Linked DNA regions of Tamandua tetradactyla. The protein of the gene in region 1 purifies or fractionates together with the protein of each later gene. This does not show direct contact. Links are inferred from orthologs where the notes say so. Each region holds a gene or a part of one and is shown in the gene's direction. Other genes may lie near its edges.

The links.
Region 2: the proteins of MAGOH (region 1) and SF3B1 purify together in Homo sapiens (co-immunoprecipitation; 3 studies listed by BioGRID and IntAct, with this or other methods). This does not show direct contact. The link is inferred for Tamandua tetradactyla from reciprocal best matches to the Homo sapiens genes MAGOH and SF3B1.

Annotation. Positions count from the first base shown.
Region 1 is NC_135328.1:168,388,755-168,399,640, forward strand, and holds the start of MAGOH (protein mago nashi homolog), read left to right. Parts: upstream 1-5,989; 5' UTR 5,990-6,088; coding exon 6,089-6,176; intron 6,177-6,193; exon of another isoform or gene 6,194-6,549; intron 6,550-8,453; coding exon 8,454-8,512; intron 8,513-9,743; coding exon 9,744-9,854; intron 9,855-10,886. Other genes in the region: LRP8 (low-density lipoprotein receptor-related protein 8), read left to right, coding at 160-198. UniProt on the Homo sapiens protein: Required for pre-mRNA splicing as component of the spliceosome. Plays a redundant role with MAGOHB as core component of the exon junction complex (EJC) and in the nonsense-mediated decay (NMD) pathway.
Region 2 is NC_135329.1:171,668,074-171,678,758, reverse strand, and holds the start of SF3B1 (splicing factor 3B subunit 1), read left to right. Parts: upstream 1-6,115; 5' UTR 6,116-6,263; coding exon 6,264-6,291; intron 6,292-10,685. UniProt on the Homo sapiens protein: Component of the 17S U2 SnRNP complex of the spliceosome, a large ribonucleoprotein complex that removes introns from transcribed pre-mRNAs.

The DNA of each region.
Region 1 (10,886 bases):
TCTGTAAAATAAGTATGATAAATCATGTCTCTTGGGTTTGTCTGAAAATTATGATAGCTAATGTCTTTAAAGTAATAGACTATCTGGTACCTTGTGGCTATTCAATAAAGAGTAGCTGTTATAGGTCTAATGATGACTTTTTTTTGGTCTGCTCCCCAGCGAGTGGCATTAAGCCTTGAAGATGATGGACTGCCCTGAGGATGAGACCACTCCCTTCGTGCCTCATGGAATTCAGTCCCATGCACTACACTTTCTGGATGGTGTATGATTGGAGAGATGGGTTTCTGTATATGGGTCTGTGTGAGAGTGTGTGTGTGTGTGCATTTTTTTTTTTTTTAATTTATGTTGCGGAAAGGTAACCACAAAGTTATGATGAACTGCAAACATCCAAAGGATGTGAGAGTTTTTATATGTATAATGTTTTATACACTTTTTAACTGGCTGCACTACCCATGAGGAATTCATGGAATGGCTACTGCTGAGTGACTAACAATGATGTATATAACCAAACTGGGGCCAATGGTACGGTAGCTTACTCATCATTTAAAAACTATATTTACAAAGAGTGTTTGGGAATTTTTTTAGGTTTGGAGGTTTTGTTTTGTTTTGTTTGTAAATAAAATGATTATGCTTTGTGGCTATCCATCAACATAAGTAAAAAAAAAGAAGAAACACTCCCATTCCCTCCCCCATTTAGATTATTTATTAACATATTTCAAAGATAAGATTAGTTCTATAAATAATTTAGAGAAGCAAGAGTATCTATTTTTGGTATGCTTGGCCCACCACGCAGACTCTGTATGTGTGTTTATGTGTGTGTGAAGAGAAAAATCTGTAGAGAAGTTTGTGTACCTATGGCTATTATTCAAATACTAAATATATTTTAAAACAATCCACAAAATGGGTATCTGTAGTTTTCAGAGAATTTTTGGAAATTTGACTCAGAAAACAGATACCATGGATTGTGCAAACATCTAGTGGAAGGGGAAGATCTTTTCCACTTCTGGCTATTCCTGGGACTCTAGTCAGTCAGGAAAAGCCCAGCAGCTTGCCCGTGGCTGCTGTAGCTCCTACCTGGGTTTTCTCTTCTGTGGCTAAGGCCAGCATATAGACTTTACACAGTGCCAGAAGCACTCGCGAGCTTAAGTCAGAACATGCCAGGACCTCAGATACTCCTAGTTTTAAAGTTCAGCAACTTGAGTCATTTCTTTAATTTTCTTCAGGATACTTGGGTTAAAATCAGTAAGTTTCCTCTGCAGCACCTTGAAAGATGCCATCATCCTCACCTACAGAGCTAAGTGGAGAATGTTTCTAGGATGTCCCAAGTTCACCCTAGGGACTGGCTCAGGCCCCGAACATCTGAGACACACTGTGGATGAGGACAAGGATGATGGAATCTTATTTCTCCCTTTTACTTTCTATCATATCTGCTAAGTGATGAAAGCATATTTTTAAAGTATTAAATAGTTTGTTTTTTTTTTAACCATAGTATGTTCATAATTTGGGTTTAAGTCAAAATCAGTGGCCAAACCTGAAGTTATATTTGAGGAGGGAAATGGTATACACCATATATATCAGAGTATTTTGGACATATATGGTCACACAGGGATTTGGTTTACTGCCTTGTAAATAAAAGGAAATACTCTGGCTATATGTATAGATTTTTTTCATTATGGACACTTTCTTTGCTTTTCCTGGGCCAGATGGGTGGGCAAGGAGAAATGCTGTTTTCTCTTTGTGAGGATCTACCATTGGAAACATAATCCTACAGTCCCAGAAGGAATTTGGTTCCTTCTGGCTTTTTCATCCAAGATGTGGCCTTTTCTTAACTCTTTCTCTGCTGTTCTGCCACTTTACTTTCAATTTCACTGGACAACTAGAGACAAGGTGTGACACGGAAGTACTTGACTTAAGTAAGGGCAAGGACATGCATTTAACCTTAACATTCCTGGAACTTGACATATTTAAGCAAAGGCCCTCCTGGCCCCTAACTCAATGAAGCTTGGATGTTTCACCAGCTTGATTCCCCCCAGAATTTCCAGGCAGACATTGAAGAGTTATATCATCCTGTTCTTAGGACTTTTCTCTGCCACTCGTGGTTTCATAACCTCTGTGAAAACAACTGTGCTCTGGAGCCTGGGCACATAAAACATTTCCTCATGATATGCATGTATTGATAGTCCAGAAACATTCACTGAGAGGGCAAATGCAATTGACCTAGAATGATCAATACCAAACAGAATTTTAAGAACAGGTGACCAACTCCTATGGAGCTTAATAATTTACTATTATTCTTTCAAGAATAGAAAGTAAAATTATTTTTGACTGAAGAACACTGGAATTTACAAGTGACTTGTCTGTAACCTGCTTACAAAGAAATTGCCTGAATTTCCTAGGTTATTAATGACAACGTGACTAGCATAATTTCTAAACTTTCAGTCAGTTCCTGGCCTTCCCAGAAAAAAAAAAAAATGAATGAGGTCAGAACGATAACAGCCTCAGATCTCAAAATGATGATAAAACTCACAACTTTTTTAGAGACATCCATGTTTCCTGACTATACTACAACTGTAGCTTGAAAGAGGGCAGCTTTGGGAGCAACCTACAAGACACAAACTGAAATGCTCATGTGTTAGATGGCAGTAAATACAATAAAATCTGTGGAGTCAAGTCCATCCTTCCCTTATTCCCAGTACCTCCCAGAAAAAGTACAGAATCAACATCTCATGTGTAAAGGGCTTTCCTGCAAAATGGGGCGGGGGGAATACATGTTGGGAAAATCAGACTTCCCAGACCAATGGTACATTCTTCCAATTTTAGAGGTTTTTGAGCCTCATTTTGAGGTGTAATTTATTTCTGTTGCCTCCCACTCCCCCTGCCCATACATAGCATAGCCAATAATGAATCATAGAGCTGGAAAAAAATCTTAGAGAAAATGTCAGCAGAGCAGAAAATGAATTTATCACAATATTTGCTCCATTTTAAAAAGAAGCCATATCCAGTTCTTTTCCTCTTTCTTCAGACTACTTGGGGCTGCCTGGACGTTACTTCAAATCTGCTGCCTATTTTAGGCTTATCTGTCCAGTGGAATTCTGAAGGCATGGGCAGAAATGGCCTTCCAGAAACAGGGCAAACTAGTATGATTTTTAATAAAACAGGTTGAGATAGCCTGTAACTTCACCTGGCAAAAAGAGGATGAGATGGAATTTAAGTCAATGGCAGTAAGTACTATTGATCCCTCTGGCTCTGTGTAATTACAATATGTTCATTCACTTTAAACTATTTGCTAGGTACCAACTGTGTGCTGGGCACTAAGCCAGAACATAAAGAACAATTCATCCTTGTCCTTATGGAGCTCAGAGTCACAGTAAGGAAAGGCACATGTGAAAACAAAAGTGATAGATTGTATTTAGAGTACTGTTGGGACACAAAGGGGAAAATGGACATTTCTACCCGGGGAACTGAGAAATGGGATCAAGAATGGCATTATAGGAGAAGTGTCCTTAAGCTAAGTCTTAAAAGTTCAGTAGGAGTGTCCAGGCTGCTTCAGACAGAGGAAACACTGAGCTAAGACAGATGCATGTAACATCTTGGAATTGTTAAGGAATTGTACCTGTTCATTCTAGCTGGAGCATAAAGCTCAAGGGAAATTTAGCATGAAATGAGGCTGGATGGAAAAACAGGTTCAGTGTAAGCACTTTATAAAATACTATTTAGTTTCTGATTCAATTAAGCAAGGCTTTTTGATCCTTGATTGTGTATGAGGCACCAAGTGTATCAAGGACAATTCACCAGGATGTACTGCCAGCACTTTGCAGATGTGACAGTGTTCAGCCTCAAGCTTTCTAATGGCCAAAGGGAAATCTTGACTGCTTTTCATATATTTGAGTCAGTGTTTTGATGAGGTCAATGAGAACTAATATAAGGGCAGTGGGATTTTTACAGAAATATTCCATCTTATTAAAAGCCTCTGAGATTTTCTCAACCACGAAAAAAGAAAACTGGGAGTTTGAAGGCGTGGAGTCTGGAGAGGGGATGCCAGTCATTCTCCAGTCACAAGCTAGTGGGAATGGGGGAAGGGTACACTAAAGTGAACCTACCTCCTCTACCACCTAAATCCAGCCATACTCTCATGTCATAGAATGTAAATGAGTTAGTATAACAGTTGCAGGTTAAATAATTTCCTTTCTCATCAATGCATGAAGGTAGAATATCAGAGTCTTCTCACTGTATTTTTTAGGGTATATGGGATTTTCAGGGTATGGCGAATTTAGAAAGTGGAAGAATTAAAAGCTTCAATTTTTCAGTTACTATAAGAAATCAGGAAGCTTTGTTCATTCAGGCTATGCACCATGTGCACAGTCAAGAATCAGCAGAAACCCTCTGCATTTGCAAACACTTTGTGCTATAAAAAGTAATAAAGAAAAAAGCCACCTGTATATATATTTAAAGATGTGAAGGTTTTGATACTTTTTTACAAAAACTACAAGAGAAAGCATACCTGTACAAACCGTCTACTTTAACATAGTGTTTTGTTCTATACAAGCTGCTGTTATTTTGAGGGTGAAGTACTGGTTTGCAAACTCCATCACATTGTGCCCAATGGATTTTCCTTGTTTGTCTTTATCTTCCCCACCCAAATTACTGTCTTTGATGTGACAGGCATGTTAGAATGTTGGGTTGCCCTAACCATTTCTGCTCTTTTCACTTTGTCATTCCAAGTTTGGTTACCTTCTGTGCTCAGTGCAGTCTGGTTTCTCTTCCAGAGGCAAAGGGACTGAGGGTGGTGTGCTGCATTTCACTAGCTGTACTGGAATTATCCTGATGAACTGAAAACCAAATGTGAACATTTGTAAAATCAGTGCCCTGTTTCTAGAAAGATTAAATTCATTTTTTTTAAAATCTGGAAGCATTGTTTCATTGTGATGTTTTAATGAGGGGGGAGTGGACTAACACTGAGCCCCTGTTGTGTAACACGTGTTTTACATTATCTCAGTCTTTGACAATCTGTGAGATAAATATTATCAATATTATTCGCCCCATTTTACAGATGAGACGATCCCAAAATGGTGAAATAACTGCACAAAGTTATTTTTAGTGCCCCCAAAGGACATTTGCAAATGTAGCATTCTCTAACGCTGTGGTCTTCAACCCTGACTCACCAATGCCCATATACATCCTTAGAGGATTTATTTCATTGGTTTGGGGTGGGGTCTGGGTATCAGTATGTTTTCTAGCTCCTCAATGACTCTAATGGGCGGCCAGGGCTGAGAATCACTGTTGGATAAGCAGTACACAGAGGACCGAGGAGTGGAAGATCAAAATATTCAATTTAACTTTTACTCACAGAACCTACTATAGAGACCAGGGGACAATTAAACATTCATAATAAGTTAGAAAAGCGTAAAATGAAGGATAACCAACTGTGGGGGGCGGGGGGGGGTTAGTTCCAGAGAGATGGCAATCTCCACTATGGATTCAGAGAAAGCGTTACAGAGAACGGTTTTCTTGAATTGATGTTTAAACAGCAAAGTTCAGTCGAGGCTGACTTTAGACACAAACATCATTCGCGGCGGTCCTCTCCCGGGTTCTGTGAGATGGGAGCATTTAACCCCATTTTACTGTTGAGAAGACCTATGTCCAGAGACAATGAAGAGCTTGCCTGACTCACACAAGGTCGGGGGTTAGGCCTGGAGGGGGGTGCAGGACTAGGAGGGATTCAGGCCGGAGAGCTCCTGGCGACGAGTCTTGGCCTCACAGCGAGATTCCAGACTCCCTCTGGAGAATTCGAACAAACCCAGAACTAAGGAAAACCACGGCAGGCGCTTCCGGGTTACGGGGGTGGGGACGGGAGGGAAGCCTTGACCCCGCCCCCGAACGGGAGGGGCGAGGCAGCCTTGTTTCCGCCTCTGGGAGAAAGGGACGCCGCAGCCTTGTTCTCGCGGGTACGGGCAGGGAGGGATCCCTTGCTCTCGCGACGGCGTTGTCGTGACGTCACTTCTCCGCGCCGCCGAACGTCAGTGTTGGTCGCGTACAGCCGCCGCGCTGTTTGCTATGTAAGTTCAGTCTCCGTGGCCTTTTATGAGCCATGGAGAGTGACTTTTATCTGCGTTACTATGTGGGTCACAAGGGCAAGTTCGGCCACGAGTTTCTGGAATTTGAGTTCCGACCTGACGGTAAGAGCGGCCTGGCGCAGTGGGGAGCGGGTACTAGGCCTGGGGCGGGGGAGTGAGGAGGCCTAAGAGTCGGAAATGTGCGGTGAATGAGAGGAGCGAGGGACTAAGACCTGTATAGCGCGGACCTGAAAGGAACGTTCCTGTGCCGATTCCACTGGTTCCATATCTTTCTATCCATATGCAAGGACTCCTGTTTAGAAACATGTTTGACCAGAGTGCTTTCATTTAACAAACACTGAATGCTCCCTTTGTGCCAGGCTTTTTTCCGCTCTCTGGGGATACAGCAGTGAAGAAGATGGACAAGCATACTCTCTCAGCATTTATATTCTAGTGCTAGAGACAGATCACAAACAAGCAAAAAAGAAGATTCCAGGTAGTGATGAGCGGTCAGAAAAAAATAAAGCAAAAAGACTAATTACTGGATGAGTTGCTTTAAGATAGGGTGGCCATTGGAGTGCTCTCTGAAGAAAGGATAATTTGAACTGAGGTCTGAGTGGCAAGAATGAATCAGTGCTGTGAAGCTCAGGAGCAAAGGCATTGTAGACAGGGAGTAGAAAGTGCCAAGGCTGTAGGAAATGAGCTAGGCATGTTTCAAGTGACCAGTGTCACTGAAGAATAGTAAGCTCCCAGGAAAATAGCATGAGGTGATGTGAGATAGCGGCCACATCACGTAAGCCATATTGGATTTTATTGTAAATGCGGCAGAAAACAGTTGGAAAGTTTTAAGCAGGGAAGTGATGTGATCTGTTCTGTTTTTGAAAAGAGTATTCATTGTTGGATGCAAAATGGGCAAAAGTGGAAACAGGGCTGCTTACTAGGAGACAGTTACAATTGTCAAGACGAAAGGTTATCAGTTGGGACCGGGGTGGTAGTAGAACTGGAGAGAAGCATTTAGGATACTGTTGGAAGCAGAACCAACTGAGACTTCGCTGAAAGAATTTGGGGAGTGGGCACTGAAGTGAAAGAAAGGTATCAAAGATACCAAAACTTCTACTAAATGGTAGAAGAAAGATGAACCTGCGAAGTCCTGATTTTGAGGGAGATAGAGTTGAAGATGGTGAGAAAGTACTGTTTTAGGTACTGTGATATAAAGATAGTGGAGACCTGGGAGCAGAGAGAGGGCACGTAAGCAAGTGCCCTGAAGGTCAGGAAAGGCATTGTAAATGAAGTGTAGCTTGAGGGGAGTGGAGTGAGTATTTAGGAATATGTAGGAGTTGGTTAGGCAGACAAGAATCAGTAAGGCATTTTGGACAGCATTATCAGTCAAGAGGTTGAAAATCAAAAAGGACATGTAATGTTTCAAATAGAACCCAAGCAGTTTGGTTGACTCCCCAGCTATGGGAGAGAGGAATATTGCAGGATTGAGGTTGGAAAAGTAGGTGGGCACACACATTGACAGTATGCCATGCTGAGGAGTTTGGATTTTATCAGGAAAGCTGTGGGGATCCATTGAAGTATCAGAGTAACCTATTCGTATAGGTCTGTTACTAGATCACTTGGGCTCCGAACTGAAAGAAAGAGACTCGAAGCAGAGAGACAGTACAGAGGCCATTAGAATAATTTGGCTTTTTTTAATATGTGCCCTCTATTAGGTAAAAAAATAATGTCTTCTATTTCCTTTTATCTTCTCTTTCATTCCCCACCATATACCCAGATCAGATTGTTGGATGTACATGTGGAGGCTCACCAAGGGCATGTAAACCAAATGTGCTCAGTTATAAAAGCGCAACTTTTATATTACAGGAATAGTTCAGTGTTGTACAGTCATCTGATAATGTATAAAAACAGCCTTTACATTTTTCAAAATGCTTTCACAACTCATTTGCGCCTCAGGAAGCCCTGAGTCAGATATTTTATCAATTATGTTCCTATTTTCACAGAGCTGTCCTTTACCCACGATCACAAAAGAGCCTGCCATGTTTTGTGTGGTTTTTTGTTTTGTTTTGGTGCATGGCCCAGGAATCGAACCCAGGTCCCCCACATGAAAGGCAGGCATTCTACCACTGAACCACCCCTGCTATGTTCTTTTCCCACACTTGAGCTGTCTTTTGCAAGAAATATAGTTCAATGTCAGCCATATTTTTGGCTGTGAGGATGTTTAATAGCCTAAAGTGAGGAACTGAAAAGACTAGCATTGTTGAAACACAAGGTGTAAATAGTAAATTTCTTAGACAATTTGAAGGGAAAGTTAGGGTACATTTTAAGCAACAAGTGATAATCTTGGTAGGCTATTTATTTTTAATTGTACATTGAATTTGTTTTTTTTGCCCCTCACAGGGAAATTGAGATATGCCAATAACAGCAATTACAAAAATGATGTCATGATCAGAAAAGAGGTATGAACCTTCATTCACTACAGTAGAGACTTTTCCTTGTGTTATTTTTGTTCTTTCTGGAAGTAATATTGAAAGATAAAGAACTGGGAAGTAGACACAACTGTAGGCAGCTTCTCAATTCCTTCTCAGATATTCCTTTAGTTTATGCTTTCATTCACAGTGTAGAATCAGTTACTGGTCATCATGGAGTCTGGCAGATCTTGGTTTGAACCCTGAACCTGTTTCTTACTAAACATGTGACCTTGGCAAGTTTCCTGGCTGAACTCAAGTCTCAGTTTCTTCATCTGCAAAAACAAGGTTAATAGAACTCATCCATCCCCAGCTCTGACAGAGAATTAAATACATTAAACTTAAAGTGCTTCATATATTTCTTGACACATATACTCAGTAGAGAGAGATACTGTTGAATTTGAATTTGAAATGACAGGGAACATGGTAAAGCAGCTAACATTCGTTGAATACATGTTAGATGCCAGGCATGGAGCTAGGTATTTTACATGAAGGAACTTATTTAACGCTGATTGTAAGTCCGTGTAATAGATGGTATATATCATCTTTAGAAAATGAAGGCACAGATCTTAACTAAAGGACTTGTTCAAAGACACCTCTGCTAGTAAAAAATAGAGGAATTCAAACATGCATACATTTCTCAAGTCCATATGCTCCATTCTTTCGTGATTTCTACTATGCCTTTAAGGCTTCCTCAAAGCCACACTTGCCTTTTAACCATTTTGTCATATTTAAAAGTGTCTTTACAGTTTATATATTTTCATAATATTATGTCTAATTAGCAATTGTTTTTATATTTATCCACACATGTCAGCATCCTCACATTTTTCTACATGGACTTATATCCAAAATGTACTTTAAAAGATATGTCTCTGCTCTTCAGAAGCATGTCATGTAGTTAAAAGTAACCAGGATGTGAGACATTCACAGACATTTAGTGATTACCCAGATCTTCTATTCTGGGTTCAGGTGTCAGTTGAGTATGTGGGCAGAAGACAGTCATTGTGACCAAGATGTGCCAAGAGGAGCTAAGAACTAGATGGAGGATTGAGGTGATCCTATCCCTCTTCTCCAAGATGCCGAGATCAAGCCTGAATGTCTTCCCACTTACGGTGGTGCCGGAAATAAGTCTCCAGAAGTAGTTGACATTATCATCCATCTTCATCTGAATCAAGGCACCGCTTCGGGATACAACTTAAATTGTTTTTTTATTTACTTTCAGGCTTATGTACATAAAAGTGTGATGGAAGAACTGAAGAGGATAATTGATGACAGTGAAATTACCAAAGAAGATGATGCTTTGTGGCCGCCTCCTGACCGAGTAGGTCGGCAAGTAAGTGCTTAGTGACTATTCTAGTGCAGAAATTTTACAAATGGAAGATGATATATGACATTGAACTCAGTAATGTTTGTGTGTATGTGTTACTGAGTTCTGCACAAAGCATATTATCAGCAACTTGGTCTGTAGGGAGAAACAAAGAGAACAGGTGGTACTGATGACTACCTAGAGCCCAGCCTTGAATTTCTTCCTGTAATACCCTCCGTCCCCCCTACTCCCTTTCTCAAAGCTTTTGCTGCCCACTTCACTTACTAGGTAACTACTATAGACAAAGCATTATAGAATACAAAAATAAATAGAACATAGATATTTCGTCAACCTACTGGAAGGAAAAATCATGCAAGCAACTCAATATGTATGTTTAAACGCATGGCTGAGTCATTCTGAAGACCATTTGTTAACTAAAAACAGACAAAAATCTACTCATGTTTGACTTGAGTTAACAGAAAAGGTATTTCTACCTGAACTGCTGCCATCCCAGTCCAGACTTCTAATCAAATTCCTTTCTTCTCTTGTGCCCATTCCATTTTCCATCTTGAAGCCAGAGTGATCGTCTTAAAATGTGAATTTATATATTCCATTGACTTAGACTCTCCAGTGGCTTCTCACTGCACTTAAAATACAATCCAAGTTCCTATCCCGTTTTCTCCCACTCACAATAGCACTGAGTTTAAACCACTTGAGCCTTATTTCCATTGCTCAGACATACCCAGCCCATTCTTTCTTTAGGGCCTTTGCGTGTGCCACGTTCTGCCTGGAATTTCTACAGTACTGTGTTTATTATTGAGGTCTCTGTTGTTACTTCCTCAGTGATTTCTTCCTGTCTATCCATCTAAGAAGCTCTCCATTTTTTTAATACAAGATCTGTATTGTCTTTGTAGCATTTATCATTACAAGCTCCTTCAGTGCAAAGATTTTACTTATTTTTTTCTTCACTACTATATCTTTAGTGGCTAAAATAATGCCAGTGTATTGTAAAAGTGGATTAATAGTTATATGTCAAATTAACATGAAAACCCAAATAAC
Region 2 (10,685 bases), on another chromosome or scaffold:
ATATAGCTTTCACATTGTGACTGTGTAATTGTGAAAGCCTTGTGTCTGATGCTCTTTTTATCTACCTTGTGTACAGACAAGTAGAATATATGGAATAAAAATAAATAATAGGGGAAACAAATGTTAAAATAAATTAATTTGAAATGCTAGTGATTAATGAAAGCGAGGGGTAAGGGGTATGGTATGTATGGTCTTTTTTTATGTTTTCATTTTCTTTTTCTGTTGCCTTTTTATTTCTTTTTCTGAATTGATGCAAATGTTCTAAGAAATGATGAATATGCAACTAAGTGATGATATTGTGAATTACTGATTATATATGTAGAACGGAATGATCACATGTTAATGTTTTAGTTCATTTATTGTTAATTTTTTTAATTAATAAATAAATAAATTTTTAAAAATGGGACTGGGTAAATTGGATACCTATATGCAAAAGAATGAAGGTGAATTCCTACCTCATACCATATACAAAAATCTACTCAATCTCTATCAGGGAACAACCCAATTAAAAAATGCACAAAGATTTGACTAGACAGTTCTCCAAAGAAAATATACAAATGGCCAGATAGCACATGAAAAGATCCTTACCATCATTAGCCATTAGGGAAATGCAAATCAGTACTACAATAAGATACCATTTCATGTGCCCTAGAATGGCTACTATTTAAAAAAAAAAGCACCAGAAAATTATAAGTCTTGGAGAGGATGTGGAGAAATAGGAACTCTCATTCAGTATTGCTGGTAGTGTAAAATTGTGCAGCTGCTGTGGAAGATAGTTTGAGGAAGACAGTTCCTCTGAAGATTAAGAATAAAATTACCACATGACCCAGCAATCCCATTTCTGGGTATATACCTACAAGAATTGAAAGCACAGACTTGAACAAATATTTGCACACCAACATTCATAGTATCATTATTCACAATTGCCAAATGATGGCAACAGCCCACGTGTCCATCAAGTAATGAATGGATAAACAAAATGTGGTGTATACACACAATGGAATATTATTCAGCCATAAAAAGTAATGAAGTTCTGATAGATGCAACAACACAGATGAACCTTGAAAACTGCTTGTTGAGTGAAATAAGCCAGCCACAAAAGGTGTGTATGATCTCACTGATATGAAATAATAAGCAAATCTATAGGGTCAGAATCTAGAATATAGGTTATAAGGGGATAAGATGAAGATTGGGAATAGGGAATGTTCTAGTTTGCTAGCTGCTGGAATGTGATATACCAGAACTGGAATGGCTTTTAAAAAGGGGAATTTAATAAGTTGCTAGTTTACAGTTCTAAAGCCATGAAAATGTCCCAATAAAAATAAAGCAAGTCTGTAAAAATGTCCAAATTAAGGCACCAGGAAGAGGTTACCTTCACTCAAGAAAGGCTGATGAAGTTCAGAGTTTCTCTCTCAATTGGAAAGGCACATGGTGAACATGGCATCTGCTAGCTTTCTCTTCAGGCTTCTTATTTCATAAAGCTCCCCCAGGGATGTGTTCCTTCTTTATCTCCAAAGGTCTTTGGTGGTGTGGGCTCTGGCTCTCATCATTTTTCTGGCTCTAAAAAAGGGACGGTCTCTAAAATGTTTCCTCTTTTAAAAAATCTAGTCACGGCCCACCTGGAATGGGTGGAGTCACATCTCTCTCTAATCAAAAGTTACCACCCACAATTGGGTGAGTCACATCTCCATGGGAACAATCAAAAGCTCCAAGTCAGCAATATTGAATGAGGATTAAAGAACAAGGCTTTTCTGGTGTCCTCCACAGATTCAAACTGGCACAGGGATTTAAAACTTAAAATGTACAGAGTTCCTATCTTGAATGATGGAAGTGTTTTGGTAATGAATGGTAGGATGGTAATACAACATTGTGAACATAATTAACAATGCTGAAATATATATCTTAATGTGGACAAATGGAGAAATATTAGGTTATGTATGGTAATAGGTCAAAATGTTTTAAAAATCCTTGAAACTGCATTATACAAATAGTGAACCCTAAGTTAAACCATGGACTATAGTTAATAGTATGACTATAAAAATATACTTTCACAATTGTAACAAATATACCATATCAGTGCAAAGTGTTAACTGTAGGGAAGATATGGTGTTTTACTTTGCTTATGCTTCTGGGAAACAATATACCAAAAATGGGTTGGCTTTTACAAAAGGAGTTTATTAAGTTACAAATTATAGTTCTAAGGCCATAAAAATGTCCAAACTAAGGCATCTAGAGAAAGATACCTTGACTCAAGAAAGGCTGATCACATCTGGAACACTTCTGTCAGCTGAGAAGGCATGTGGCTGCCATTTGATGGTGGCTTCTGATTTCAAACAGCTCCCCTGGGGGTGTTTTCTTTCTGCATCTGCAAACATCTCTTCTGTGTACATCTCTGTCTGTGTCAGCTCTGAAATTTTTCCCCCAAAATGCTTCCCTCTTAAAGGACTCCAATAAGTGGATTAAGGCCCCACCCACAACTGAGTGGGTCTCATTTCCATAGAAATAACTTAATCAAATAGATCCCACCCAGACAATAGGTCTGCCCCCACAAGACTGAATTAGAAAAAAGAACATGGCTTTTCTGGGGTACATAATCGTTTCAAACCAGCACATATGGGAATTCTATATTTTATTCATGATTACTCTATAAACCCAAAACTTCTGTAATAAAAAAATAGTGGATCAAAGACCTGAATATAAAAACTAGAACTATAAAACAGCTAGAGGAAAACAGAGGGATCCTCTTTAGCAGCTTGTGTTAGTCAATGGTTTCTTGGACTTTATACCCAAAGCATGAACAACAAAACAAATAAGTAAATGGGAACTCACCAAAATAAAAACTTTAGTGCTTCTAAGGACTTCATCATGAGAGCAAAATAACAACCTACACAATGGAAGAAAATATTTGGAAACCACATATCTGATGAGAGTTTAATATCAGACTATATACAGAAATCCTACAACTCAACAACAAAAAGACAACTCAGTTTAAAAAAATGGGCTAAAGACTTGAATAGACATTTCTCCAAGAAGATACATTAACGGCCAAAAAGCACATGAAAATATGTTCAACGTTATTAGCCATTAGGGAAAGGCAAATCAAAACTATGATGAGATACCATTCCACACTCACTAGAATGGCTACTATTTTTAAAAACATGGAAAATTACAAGTATTAGAGAGGATTCAGAGAAATAGGAAGACCCAGTCATTCATGGGAACACAAAATGTTGTAGCTGTAGTGAAGGACAATTTCGTGGTTCCTCAGAAAGTTAAGTATAGAATTACCACATGATCCAGCAATTTCTCTTCTAGGTATATACCCCAAAGAATCAAAAGAATGAACTCAAATGGATATTTGCTATTTTGGTTTCCTAAGCTGCTTTAAGTAGATATCATAAAATGGTTTGGCTTAAATGAATTTATTTGCTTATGGTTAGGGTTTGGAAACTTGTCTAAATCAAGGTATCATTAAGGTAATGTTTTCTTTATGAAGACCAGCTGCTGGTGATCCTTGGCTCCTCTGCCACATGGCAATATCTGTTAGTCTCTTCCTTCTCTTTTGAGTTTTATTGATTTCACGTTCTTGCTTCTGTAGCTCTCTCTCTCTTTTGAGAGAGAATACTTAAGAATTCTTTCTTAAGAATACTTAAGAAAGGCCAGTGGGTCCGGAATACTTCTGTCAGCCGGAAAGGCACGTGGCTGGCATCTGCTGGTCCTTGTTCTGGTTCTGTTGCTTCTGGTTCTGTTGCTTCTGGCTTCTGATGCCAGTGGTTTCCTCTCTAAGCCTGTGTGGGCCTTCACTTAGCTCCTCCGGGACACAACTCTGGTTCTGGCCTGCTTAGCATCTTGTGGGAAGGCATGTGGGGAAATCTGCTGGGCTCTTCCGGTGGCTAGGCATCTGCTCTCTCTGTCAGCATCTAAGCATCTCAAAAGATCTCTGGCTGTGTCAGCTCTGAAGCAAATATTCTTCAAGAATCTGCATCTTAGATTTCTCCAAAATGTTTTCCCTTTTAAAGGACTCTAGTAAACTAATCAAGACCCACCTTGAATGGGTGGAGTCACATCTCCATCTATTCAAAAGGCCACACCCAAACTGGCATGTCACATCTCCATGGAAACAATTCAAAGTTTCCCATACTAAACAATAGGTCTGACAAGATTGGATCAGAATTAAAACAGCTTTTCTGGGGTACCTAATAGTTTCAAACGAGCACAGATGTCATCTGTTAATTGTTAAAGTTATAAAGTTATAAAAAGGAGGGCTAGATCACTCTCTCTGACTTGTAAACAAAAAAAATCTCACCAGAGGAGACAACCCACTGTGCGTAATATCTGATTATTATATATTAATATTATTTTAAAAATGGAAAGTGAAAAGACTTGAAAAACAAACTTAACTTGTTCCTTACTATCTGAATGTTCAGTTCGCTATGTCATTGAAGATAAATTAGAGTGTCAAAAATTAGAGTGTCCTCCAGAGAAGTCTCCCTTGATCATTGGCAAAGTTTTTCAAATTTTACTATCTTATATATGTCTTTACCATACAGAAGCATCTTAAAATTTAAGAACCCAGAGAAATATGCACATAATACAAAGTGCCAGTAAACTCAGCTTCTCTCTACCTTGGAAAGATAAGGAAGGACATGGGATATCCACGTTATAGCAGCTTTTCATTTTGTTAACACTTTTTTTCTGATTATAAAAATAATAAATGCTTATGGGAAAAGCCCTAAATTTTATAAAGAAAAAAATTAGCCATGATCCCACCATTCATAAACACCTATCTGTTAATATAGTGTGGTAAATTTCTGTTGCATATATATTTTTACACGTCTGAAGTCGTCCAGCATTAACAAATTTCTTTTTTAGAAACATGAGCAATGCAATGTTCTTGTGATTCTTTTTTGTTAACATGGATGAATTATTTGTTTGCTGATTTTTGATGGATAATAACCCTTTCTCCAATTTTTCATTTATTTTTTATTATTTAAAAATATACTACTTTACATATACAAAATGATATATGTAATCTACGAATAGGTCATAGAGCATAATAATATAATGAATATTCACAGATCATTCTGTCAACTCAAGAACTTGGAATTTTACCAATAATTTGTATAAATTATACACATGCTCTTATCTCACTCGTCTGCCTCTCCCAACTATTGTTTAACCTAATAATCAATGAAAATTAAATAACTGAAAATTTTCAATCCATAAACTTAATTTTTACATTGATATTAATAAAAATCCCTTTTTTTTAAACTGAAGTTTGAATCTCTTATACAGTGAGGTAAACTGTTTCCTCTGTGTTAGCTCTAATCTGGATCCCTACTTATTTTACCAGCCTGCTTCCAGAGACTCAGCTTCCCTTCTGAGCTCTGCTTCTCCAACCCTGAAGTCCAAGGTCAGCGTGACAATACGAGGTTATACTGTTACATTCAGTCACAGTAGAAAAAAAAGATCGCTATAAGATGATCTATAAAAGTTGCTGATTTAGAAAGGACGTTTAAAATTTAAAGAAGCATTTCAACGTTGTTAACAATGACTATCAAAGTTTTTCTAAGAACCCATAAAGTTAAAAGGCTTTAAAAGCGTTTTAAGGTTCTTGCCTGCAACTTAGAAATTGTATGGTGGTGCACAACTGCTATTTTGTAACTCTAGTTTTTCTCTCATTTCTTAAGTGGGTTTAGCGACAATTTGCCTACTTGACTGCTCTGTTTTTGAGGTTCAGTAATTTGGGAGCTTATGTTGTAACGGAACTGCTACCCAAACGAGAGGCAATTATTTAAAAAAAAAAAAAAAGGAAAAAAAATGGTCTTAAATTATATCGCGAAGAATAAGACTTATGATCGTCTCCATAAGTAATTACTCGAAAAAGCTGAGACAAATGCTAAAGAAAGCTTTTCTCGGTCTCCAAGACGCCTTCTACTGAATTGGAGAAAGATCCACCATAATATTCCGTACAATATTCTTAACTGCTTTGCGGAAGGCACTTTCTCCTAGGACAAAATTACTCAATTACGATTGCGGGTCACAATAGACCCGCTTCAGGGCCCACCCTTGGCCCCTCCCACACCCACAATGCGCCTCGCTGCTCCCTGCAGGCGGCTGCTCTATCACGTGTCACCCAACCGAGCGCGCTCCCGTTTGGCGCCTGCGCAGAAAGTAACTCCCAGCTATTTTTCTCCGTGGGTGCGGCGACGAGCGGAAGTTCTTGGGAGCGCCAGTTCCGTCTGTGTGTTGGAGTGGACAAAATGGCGAAGATCGCCAAGACTCACGAAGGTAAGCCATCTTTGCTTGCTAACGGACTTCTTCCGCTACCTAGACTGCTAACAGTCTGTCTTCCTAGGTTTCTGCCTTTTCCTGTGTATGCGTGTGTGTTTGTTTTTAGTAGGAGGCCGAGTCTGCGGTTTGTGGCCTAGGTCGCCTCCAGCGATGCAGGCCTCTGCTCTGTGTAATGGCGTCCTACTTAAACATTCCAGACAAGCGCTTTGTTCCGTGTTAGGGTGCTGCTCCTGGAGCGTTGCTTCTCCTCTTTGACCAGTGGGCCTCGTTTAAACGGTCTACTAAAGAGGATTCTAGGGCAAGAGGGGATCCGGGAAATGGGCCTGGGAGTCTCGCCGTTTGGAAGTGCTGTCAGCGCAATTTATACATAGGAAGAGTCAGAAAGACATTGAAAAATGGCAACCTCTTTTATAGCAGTATTAAATTGGGTTTGGTTAAACCAAGGCCCATTACTCTTAACCTTGGATAGTATGTGTATCTGCAGGCTTCTAGGCTACTTGCTTGTTTTTTTTTGTACGAAGTGATTTGGGAATGAAATAATGATAGTACTTTCCCCTTGTTCACTTTTAGTGTATTATTGGTCTTTTTCTTTGGAAATTCGTGTTTGCGGAGCTAGAGGAACAAGAGAAAGTCGCTTTTAATTTTATTGATGATCGAAGCTTTCAAACTAGTTGATTTATGGAATACGGAGTATATGAAATTAGGAACATGTTGCTAATAGGCAGGAGTCTGTTAGTGAGTACTAAGAGCAGGTACAGATATTATAGGAAATGGGGTTCCTTTTCAGAAAAGACGTGGGAAGTTGGAGCTGCATTCCTTGATTTTTTACGTGGAATCTGGTATTTTCACTCTTCCAAGAGAGTCACTTTTATTTCACACTCTGTTTTTAGATGTGTGGCTTGGTGTTGTTAGTTTGTGAGAGTTGAAGACTACGACCATCAACTGTTTTACAGTCCAGTGGGGGAAAGAGACGTGTATCCATGTACATTCTGTTTATGAGACCAAGTGAATGCTTAACGAGAAGTACAAGTAGTCTGGGGAATCTACAGAACGGAATGAAAAGTTTATGCTTATGGTTATTTGTCCGTAGTCTTGGGAAGATCAATCAGTTTTATATTAGGGTGGCCATCTGAGCCTCAGAACATTTTGTAACAAGGCACTGTCCTGATGGGTAACCGTGTTTTGAGTAGTCTGCTATGCCAGGAAAAGTAGAGTGCAACAGAGAAATAGAAGATGAATCTGGATAGGTAAGTTGGGTCCAGTATGTAAATAGCATTCAGTTGTTGGGCTACTACAAGGAAACGAAGTCCAGCTCTCTGCAACTTAAGAAACATACTAATGAATGCTTACTATTCTTGTTATTTAGGATTTAAACACTGCTGTAGTACAGACATGTTTATAGGTATTTCTCTTGTCTTTAAAAAAACATATCTTTTGTAAGATACTGGAAAATATAAAAATGATTTTTGTTCATTCAAGAATAGATTATACAGTTGGGGCATTTTGTGGCTTTTATTACTTGTATATTGGTATCTTCATGGTAAGATAACCCTTAGGCATGAAGATTGATAAAGTTCTAGCCAGCTTTCCTGCAATTTAGAAAACCGCCTAAAAGTCTTGGTCCATGAAAGATTGTAACTCACTGACCAAAATTCCTTTTTTAGGAATATTCTTTCTATAAAATGTGAATTATCTGATGCCACAAAGAAAGTATGGAACATTCAGTTTAACGTTTGAGTACTGTTTATGTATAAGGCATTGCCTGTCACTGTGGAATATAAAAAAATAAAGATGTGTCTTCTACCTTCTAGGAGCTTGCAGTCTAATAGAGGAAGTAGCTATGTTTAAGACAAAGGGGTTTTTAATAGCAAAGCATAGTCTTTATTTAACTTCGTGCTCCCTTCATATTTTCCTGGAGAACTCTAGTTCATAGTCCATTTCTGTTTTCACTTGTTAAGCCATCTCAGATAACATTGAGTAGAATTAATTTTTGAATTATTTGTCCTACCATAGCACTCAGTATGTATCTTTAATTATATTTGAATATTCTGTTGGGTTAAGTTTTTCTCTTCCATTTGACTCAGATTGTGTACAGGAACCTTACCCTAGTATCCCAAGTATCTAGTATAAAAGGAGTGCTCAGATATTAAACCAAAATATATTTAGAGATTTGTACTGTAATTATTAAGATAGTTTCATGGGAAAGGGGCAGACACATTGGTTTGGCTGAGATAGGGGGAAAGCTGAATTTAGACATGTATTGGGAACCTCTTAATCTGAGAGTAAGAAAGGTTAGGTTAGTGTCAAATGTTAGGTTAGCATATGGGCTTTGTTTGAGTCTGGCCTCCCAGTGACCGTTAAATAAAGTGCTGTATCCCTCCTTGCCAGTCCCCATTCCCGTGTAACTGCTTACTTTTGTGTTTTTGGAAGGTAACTGGTTGTATGAAGGATGATGTAGAGGGAGTTGGAGCAACTATCTTAAGGCTACTGAGAGGAGGAGGACTTGGACTTAAACGCGACTATGATAGAAGGATTTTAGAAAGCAACTTTAAAAAAATACTTGTTTAAATTTTTGTTTTAGAGTTGTCCATAATGTTGCCTTTTAAAGGAAGATTGTATAATCTTTTCATCCTACATAATATGGATGTATTGTAAAAACAATTTTATTGTTGTGCCTTGTAATTTGTTTTTAAAGCTGTGGCTGCAACAGTAGTTTTTACTTTCATCCTGTGAGATAAATAATGTGTGTAACTTCAAGTAGATTATTTTTTGCCTTTGTACATGGCTCTTTTCATAGGCTATTACTTAACTGAGCCAAATTGATAACTTTTTTTACTTGTTATCATAGTCCTTTCAAATATTTCTATTAGGATCAGTCCTCACGTCTTCTTTAACTAAATTTTTTTTTACTCTGGTTGGTGTGATTTAAACTTTCCAGGATTGAACTATAAGAAGAGCTGGACTTATTCAAATCAAATGAATATAAGATCATTAATCTTTTGGACCTGGCTGCATGTTATATTGTGTCAAGTGTATATAATTTTAGTGTGCATAATCTTGCCATCCAGCAGTTCTTCAGTTACTACTGACTTTGGCAGACAAAGAGGAAACACACTTTCCTATTTTTTCTGTTTTGGGAAGGGAAAAATGAATTATATGAAAATTGGGTATATTGGTTTTTGCTACTATTCCTTGAGTTGGAATTTTTGTGGCATCTCGAAGCTAAAAAGTTTTCCCCAGAAATTTTTGCTTGAGGAATGGTTGAAATTGATCTGTTTTACTATTTTGTATTTTACTAAGATTTTTGGTTTTCCTTGTTCAGATTAGCTATTGTTTTGTTCTTTAGACTTCTAGTTTGAAGGTACTAGTAAAGATAAAAGGAAATTGATCATTTAGGAAATGATTTATTAACATTCACTGTAGTGTTCAGTAAAGTTATTTGCACTAGATCTAGTTGTCCTATTGGAATTTTGTTTAAGGAGAAGGCTGAGAGTTGAGGTGTGGAATATTATACTTCGTCTGCTCCTGGGGCATCTTTTGGAAGTCTCATATTTGGGAAATCCTTACTCACCAATTGTTCTGATTGGTGAAGAATACATGTTACTTAGGGACCTGACTAAAAGTATCAGTGAGAGGTTAACCTTTAAGGGCTGTGTGTCTGTCACATGCAATGAACAGAGGTTGGAGAACTGAACGTGATCCAAAATAAAAATGAGAAATAAATAAGCATCAAGAAGGAGGAAGTGGTGCTAACCTAGTTTAACAGTATCTGCGGGATAGAAAGAAGAAGAGGCACTGGATCAGTGACCTGGGAGGGTAAACATCTTGAGGGTCAGAATTAGTGGGGAGCGAACACTTGTATCAGATGTGATCCTCTGTCAGTGACATATAGGTTATTCTCAGAGTTTGATGTTTAATCTTAGTTTAAAATGCAAATAGTGGGTTAGTGTTTGCCCTTTTTTAAAAAGACCTTCAGTTTGTCTTGTGGTGAGTATTGACGTTATACTCAATACAATATTTGCTGTAGTTACGCTAGAAAAATGTTTGTAGGCTACTCACTGCCTTTCACTGATTATAAAAATACACTAAGTTTTGAATAAATGAAAAAACAAAATATTTTTGGATGAGTTGAGACTTCAGGTGGGTTTGCTTGCAAACTAAATTTTTTGATTTTTCATTAATACTACTAATTAACATGCATCTTCTGCATTTTCTGTGAAGGATTTGTTCCCTGATAGTTGAAAGTATGCCAGGGAATAAATCATTTTTTCAGTTGAATAAAGACATTTCCTTTTTTTGTAGATCATTTAAGTGAATTGAGTTTTAAAGTTACTACCAATTAGCAAGGCCAATGTTGCCAGAAAAGGTGTGGGAGAGGGAAATTCAGAAAA